2 linked regions of the Canis lupus familiaris genome follow. The protein of the gene in region 2 purifies or fractionates together with the protein of the main gene of each other region. This does not show direct contact. Links are inferred from orthologs where the notes say so. Each region holds a gene or a part of one and is shown on either strand. Other genes may lie near its edges. The genes, in order: CEP170 and CCDC68.

The links.
Region 1: the proteins of CCDC68 (region 2) and CEP170 purify together in Homo sapiens (co-immunoprecipitation; 3 studies listed by BioGRID and IntAct, counting the BioPlex papers as one, with this or other methods). This does not show direct contact. The link is inferred for Canis lupus familiaris from reciprocal best matches to the Homo sapiens genes CCDC68 and CEP170.

The regions. Positions count from the first base shown.
Region 1 is NC_049228.1:34,261,476-34,265,306, forward strand, and holds part of CEP170 (centrosomal protein of 170 kDa), read right to left. Parts: intron 1,373-3,831; coding exon 893-1,372; intron 1-892.
Region 2 is NC_049222.1:20,762,150-20,765,980, reverse strand, and holds part of CCDC68 (coiled-coil domain-containing protein 68), read right to left. Parts: intron 3,829-3,831; 5' UTR 3,815-3,828; coding exon 3,698-3,814; exon of another isoform or gene 3,696-3,697; coding exon of another isoform or gene 3,690-3,695; intron 2,589-3,689; coding exon 2,502-2,588; intron 1-2,501. UniProt on the Homo sapiens protein: Centriolar protein required for centriole subdistal appendage assembly and microtubule anchoring in interphase cells. Together with CCDC120, cooperate with subdistal appendage components ODF2, NIN and CEP170 for hierarchical subdistal appendage assembly.

The sequences.
Region 1 (3,831 bases), on a different chromosome or scaffold from region 2:
ATTAAGTCCCCAGGCAAAATGTCAGGGATACAATGACCTCAATGAGCATTTTTTTTAAGCTTATTAACTCCTTGCAGAGAAACAGAATGGCCAGATTAGCATGCAATCATTTCTTTTAAAGATAGCTAATTAAATAAAATAAAGATAGGGTAATTAAAATATACTTAATTAGCAAAACAATGTAAAAATTATTCAGTTGATACTCTGATATAGAAGTATAGATATTTGCCTAATTTTGGTCAAGTGTTACACTGAAAAGCATATATTGACTATTTCACAAATAAACATTCGATTGTGATTTCATAAATTTTAATATCAAAAACATTTTTAACTCAATTAATTCCTAGTATCTCTAGACCACAAGTTTTTTTGTTTCATGAGTAACTGCTGAGAAAAGCTGGAAACACTCTATCAACAATGTCACTATATTACTAATGTAGAACTTTTGGCCCATTATCAAACGGCTTAAAATTTCTTTCAAAATCTAGATTTTGACATTTTACAGGAAGCATCACAATAGAGAAGAACAGAATTGAATATAGTTTTTCCTGAAGTCAAGAAAATGATGAGAACTGTCTTCTAGGGAATTCCATTGGTGAACAGAATTAATCTTTTATTTCCACAGGAAAAAGAAACATTTTTAATGGCATAAATATAAATTCACAAAACCAATTTGGTTTTGGCAAGAAAATGAAGGCAGACTATTTTTCATGAGTAAGGTGGACATGGGTAGTGTGGCTTGCTTTTGAGCTTCAAAATCAAATATAAAGGTTTGAAAAAGCTGAAGTTTCCTATCATATAATTATTTATCTAGGAGTAGTCTGGTTAACTGTGAAGACTGAATTTTCTTTATCACAAAACAGGAAGTTCTGAAATGATCAATTCACTTTACCTTTCAACCTTTTCAAGTAAACTGGAACATCACTTTTAATACTTTTGGAATCCTCTTCTGTTCTTTCCCATACCATTTGAGGAGGGTTGTTCTGTGCTAGCCAGTCAGCTACTTTATTTTCTGGTGCCATCATTCCTGTTTGAATCCCCGGCAGGTCTTGAGTTCCAGGAGAAGACTTCTTGGACTTGTGGCGCTGATCAGAAGTAAATTTTGTCACATGGTCTCTAATAGTTACCTTCCCTGGAGTACTGTCATCAAATTCAATGGTAAATGAAGCATGCCCTGCACCTGCTGTATGGGAACTTGGTGTGTCTTTTGTTGGGATTTCATGAATAGTGCTCTCTGTTATTTGTGACGGCTGCTGAAATTCTTTTGTAGGGATTTCAAAGTAACTTGGTTCCCTACAGAAAGGAAAAAGTACTTCTTCATTTGCAGCTGCTGCAGACTGTTCCTCAACTTGCTTGGCATCTATGCTGCACCCTAATGAAAAAAATAAGAGAAAATTCAAAATATTTGGGAGCTTCTAAAACTTGAAGGAGAATAAATATGGCTATTTGTATTATGCCATGAGACTCGGAAGGCAGATCACAGCCTGGATGAAAATCTGGCAAATGTCACAGAGAAAGAATAATTTTGATTATAAATAGCATTCAGTAACAGAAGATGCAAGATAAGCAGCAGCAGTGACAAAGAACAAAGCAGTTAAGAGACAGACCCTGGCATGGCTAGATCCGTATTTTTTCCAATTTGGATCTAGAAATCAAGGTGCAAAAGAACTGAAATCAAATGGAGATGAAGATGCACATTCAACATATACATCTAGAGACAGAAAAAATATGAATTTCCTTATCAAGTCAGGAGGATAAATTATCTATGAACACAAAGTAGAGCTCTGAAGGAGAACAGGTGCTCATATGAAGAAATAAACATGAAGTCAATATGCAAGTGATGTTCTAGAGGCAATGATTCCACTTACCATTCTTCACCATCACATTTAAAGACATTACTTTTAGAATTATAAAAATAACATTACTGATGTGTGATCACTGCAAGAAGATGGATACATTCTATAAAGAATAAAAGGACTAGAGATAAAACACGTGGTTTGCTTGCAGCATTGCAATCGAAGCAGCAATGTGAAAGAAATAAGGTAAAAATAGAAAATTTAGTTGCCAGCCAAAAATTCTAGAAGAAAATTCATGTGTATGTCTATATAGCAGAATATGCGCAAGTGTCAAAAATTCTTGGGAGGAAAGCTGAATTATAAATCTCAGATCAAAACAACCAGAGTTGGCAGAAAAAGTGAGCAATTGCTATCTCAGAAATAAATATAAAGGTATAAAAATATATGCATAGTATATGTCAATAAAATAGGTAAATAAAATATATAAACAAATGATTATTGAAATGTTTTCTTGTAAGTATGTGTAATTAGTACAAATGCAAGCAATAACTAAATAGATAAATTAAAAAGACTAAACGGCCTTGTTTTTCAGGAAGCAAGAGAACTATGTCCATTATGAAGATCGTAAAGAGTTCAAATGAAAAATATTTCCCTTAAGCTCTCAGAAGCATTCCATTTTTAAACAGATTGATGGAAATACCATGTGCAGATAATTTATTAGGAAGCAGTACAGGGAGACTAGGTTGTTTCCAATCATCCCCTAATTAAGTAAAGCAGTATTTGTGGTCTCTTGAAGCATCTTTTCAAATATTGAATCTTGATGGGATTCTACAGGTGCTGTAATTATTTCTTGGTAGTACTCTCTGAACATAAACAAAACTATTTGCTTTTAGGTTATAAGAATGGGACAATAGCACTGCTGTAATCAATGTATGGAACAGGGCATATAGAAAATATCAAGCTCCAGTTCCAAAAAAAAAAAAAAAAAAAAAAAGCTCAATATACAGAAGGTAAACAGTAACAAAAATGTTTTTCAATGTAAAAAATTATTCTTTACAAAATATACTTAATTTTTCGTATAACTAAAAATGTGAAATGTGTTTCAGAAAACACTGTCATTAAAGCAAAAATTTTACATGCTATTTGGGAGAAGAAATTATACAATAAGACTAAATAACCTAAAGTCATGTTTTAAATTTCTGTAAGAGTTAATTTATCTTGGGACGCTTGGGTGGCTCAGTGGTTGCATGCCTCCCTTCGGCCCAGGGCGTGATCCTGGGATCGAGTCCTGCACTGGGCTCTGTGTGGAGTCTGCTTCTCCCTCTGCCTGTGTCTCTGCCTCTCTCTGTGTCTCTCATGAATTAAATAAAATCTTTTTTTTAAAAAAGTTAATTTATCTTAATAATAAAATGCCTACTTGCACTCTTTACTCTGAAGGCCTGTCATTTAAAATTCTTATGAGAGGGCAGCCCTGGTGGCGCAGTGGTTTAGCGCCGCCTGCAGCCTGGGGTGTGATCCTGGAGACCAGGATCGAGTCCCACATCGGGCTTCCTGCATGGAGCCTGCTTCTCCCTCTGCCTGTGTCTCTGCCTCTCTCTTGCTCTCTCTGAATGAATGGATAAATAAATCTTAAAAAAAAAAAAAAATTCCCATGAGAGTAAACTGCATCAGTCACTCCCATATATTAGTAAACTCATTAATGTTATTTTTAATTTTTCATACACTGGCTTATTTACTATTTATTACAATGTCCATATAATACAACTGGCTTTTAAGCCTAGCCTATCAGCGAAATGACATTCACGGAGTCATTTATTCTGCTTTGCTCATCCTTCTGGTAACAGGATAATGCTGGCTGGAGATAAAGGGTGGTATAGTTTCTTTCTACCACCAACTTGTATACCCAAATAAAATGAGGTGGCTGAACTACAAAGCAAAACCCACAAAAAGCTGCTCCAGGTGTATAACATTTATCTTCTACTTATCATTCATAATTTAAAGGAATATTTTCCTTCTTTGTGAAGGAAAAGCTCAC
Region 2 (3,831 bases):
ACATGTGGAAGTGGAAAGATAATTTGAAACTATCTAACTCAACTACATCAATTTTACAGATACCAAAAGTGAGGTACTGAGCCTCAGTTAACACGGTAAGTGGGAGAGCACATGAAACAGCCTCTTGAGTATCTATCCTACCTATGCTTTCTGCTCTTCCAAATTATTTCAAGGCAATATACAATTCTACATACCCTGAAATGAAACAATTATAAAATAATAACTTCCTTTTAGACTTCTATTTAGTAAGCACCTATTATGTGACAGGTAATCTTTTAGATGTTTTATAAAGCCCCCTTTGTCTGAATGCTGCAAACACTAGAAGGCACTATGTCCATTATTCAGAGGAGAAAATTGAAGATGAGAGTGTTTCACTAGTAAGCTTACTAGCAATACTAGTAAGTGTTTTCTAGTATTTTAGGAGGTTATACCTAAAACAACCACCAGGACCAGAATTGGAACCCAAGTTTGTTTAACAAAGGCAATATTCTTTCTAGTACAAAATATAGGTTACGTTTACAGAAATAAAAAAGCAGAAAAGAATATAGTGAAATAAATAATATATATAAATATATAAATTTTAAAGACCTGTAATTCCATCATGGTTTTGTTTATTCTACTCCATACACTACTATATACTCTCACTCTCCCTATATAAGTTATTTTGTTTTTAATTTGTAAAAGAATACTCCATGGAAGGAGTCTTGTGGAAGGTAGATTGCTGGCAGCAGTAGATAGCTACAAAGGTCATGGATTAGTGCATCTTGAACTTTGATGTGTATATGAGTCACTTGGTGATAGATCCAGTTAAAATGCAGATTCTGATTCACAAGGTCTGGGGTGGAGCTCCAGATGCTACATTTCTAAAGAGCTCCCTGGTACTGCTACTGCTGCTGTGAATACCGCCCAGGCTTGGAGAGCAGTAAAGCCCTAGATCAGTATGCTGAATTCCCACATGGACGTTGTGCAGATATTGCAGGGGAAGGAGCAGGTCCTTTGAGGCTATTATTTGCTATCTTGAGGTTTGAGATGACCAAGGCAGACACACTGGCAACACAATTCATCTCCATTCCTAACTCCTATCAAGGTCACCAACCTTCCCATTGTGATATCCAATGGTGAATGTTCAGTTCTCAATTTACTTGACCCATAGGCACCATTAGACATAGTGGTGACACCCTTTTTCACTTGCCATTCAGTGACTCTCTCTCTTCCGGTTTTCCTTCTAATTCACTAGTGTCTTTTTCCAGCCTGCTGTGAGGATTCTTCTTCCAAAGTGTTGGATATCTCAGGACCAAATGCTCAAATTTCCTGCCATTTAATTTCTTTTAAAGATGTATTTATTTATTTATTTATTTATTTATTTATTTATTTATTTTTGAGAGAGAGAGAGAGAGAGAGAGAGCGCTCCCATGCACATGAGGAGAGGGGCAGAAGGAAAAAATCCTCAAGCAGATTCTCCCCTGAGTGAGCCCGGAGCCAGAGGCAAGGCTCGATCTCAGGACCCACGAGATCAGGACCTGAGCCAAAGCCAAGAGTCAGATGCTCAACTGACTGAGCCACTCAGGTGCCCCCGTCATTTCTATCCACACTCACATTTGGCAATCTCCTCCAATTTCAGAAATTTAAATGCTATCTTTATTTCTAAAATCTCTGCCCTGTGGCCTGGATCTTCTAGCCCAAACCTCTACCTTCAAAGCCAGAATCAGACACACAGTACCCATTATAAATCTCCACTTACAGGTGAAATAAACAACTCAATAGAACCAAAATGGATTTTTTTTTTTTTTGGCCTTTACCACCATTCACAAACATTAACCTTTTTTTCTAGTTTCTGAGCACTTAATATAAGAAAATTTTTGGAGCTGGTTGTGTTAGTTTGGCAGACTGAGCATGATAAAGGGAACAATATTTATGCCTTCTTCATTCTCTATGGCTACACTATATAGTGGACAACGTTGGTATGGATGAGGTGCACTTGGCTTCAGATGGGCTCTAATCCGGCACAATCCAGGCAAGGCTAGTGTAGATTGTTTGACATTAAGAATATAAGGCCAGTCACAGGGGAAACGGTACATTCAAGTTTATCAATTGTCTGATCACTTGGCCTAACAGCTTAATAACTTCGACTCTGTGTCCATTGGCGTGACCCAGGTGAGCCTAAAAGGTTGTACCTTCATCACGCTTTGAAAAATGTTGCTGCCCTATATCCTGGCTGGGCTGACATCTTTACATATACTTTAGATAAGTAAGCCCTATTTAAAATATTCAACTAAGGTCTAGTCCTTCCAATCTGAGCCTGCTAATAACATCTGTGGTTAAATATTTCATACATATGCCCAGTAACATCTTTAGATACTGACAAAATATTTAACATCCATCATTCAAAACTTCAAAGAATAATTTAATAATTATCATAAAAAGTTATTTAAATAGGGTTTATACTGTTTTATGTTTATTTACTGAAGGAATAAAGTGGTACATTTTGATCAATTTATTACCTTTGTTTCTAGTTTGTGATTTGTACTGTTATGTCCTACTTCATCTTTAAAAATTTGATTTCGGATCTTTTCCAGAGTAGTTCGGATCTAGAAGAAAAGCACATTTAAATTTTTTTTCAAAGACATTTAATGTCAAATACTTTTTTCTTTATACCAGCTACAGTATACCTGATTTATCTGGAAAGTAATAATAAACACTGATCAGAGATTTAAATAACTGCCACCAACCTGACTTGCATTTAGGCTAATATTGTTTAGACTGCAGAAAATGAACATTTGGTCTTTATAATTCTTTCTCAGTCAAACCTAAAATATAACCTAAATGAATATTATGCTACAAAATAATTACTATTTAGTAATTAGTATTTAATACTATTTAATTCTATTTTTCCTATGTAGCAATTTAGTACTAATTTACTATTTAGTAATTACTATAAAACAATTACTATTTAGTAATCACTACAAAATAATTACTAGCTAGTAATTACTAGAGAATAATTACTAGCTAGCAATTACTATAGAATAATTACTATTTAGTAATTACTACAGAATAATTACTAAGAGAAGATCATACAAATTTATGCATGAAATATAAGCCTAATGTCTTAGTGACCTATGGAATTGTAAGACACTCAAAGATGAATTAATCTAAGTAAGTTATAAACTAGCCAGGTTCAAATTTTTCTATCTGTTCTAAGAAACAGTTCATAAGAATATATACTTTTGTCAGCCATTATCACTGGATTCTCATAAGATTTCACATTTGTAATGAAGTCACATGCCAACATGTGATCACTGAGGAGAGCAACCCAGCACTGTGAAAAGGAAGCGGTAAGGAGAGACAGTAACTCAGAGAGAACATAAACATCTAGTTGGGAGCACAGTAGCAACACTCATGAAACAACTGAGAAATGATATAAAACAGTAGGAAGTGCAGTGGTGAAGAGTGTGGGGCAAATTAAGTGCTGATAGGTGTTCTGAACCCTTCTGGCCCATGATTCAATTTTATGCCATGTGTGGGAACAGAGGTTTGTGTCCTCAAGAGAGGTTACCAAACATGTGTTGAAATTTCAGCTGCTGGGGTTGTCCTTTACCAAATGTGTCCTCACAGGTTCTATGGAGGGAGAAACAAAGCCCACCCATCCATGTTAGGTTGCATTTTAAAAGATCATGATCGATTTCCAGTACCTGCATACCTTTTTCACATATTCAGTTTCTTCAATAACGTGAGCTGATGTGGACTCATACAGGGCAGAGTTATTTTTTATTTTACCACTTGGGGGAATCTCTGTGGTCACTGTTACTGTTGTCATTGTGAATTCCGGCTCTA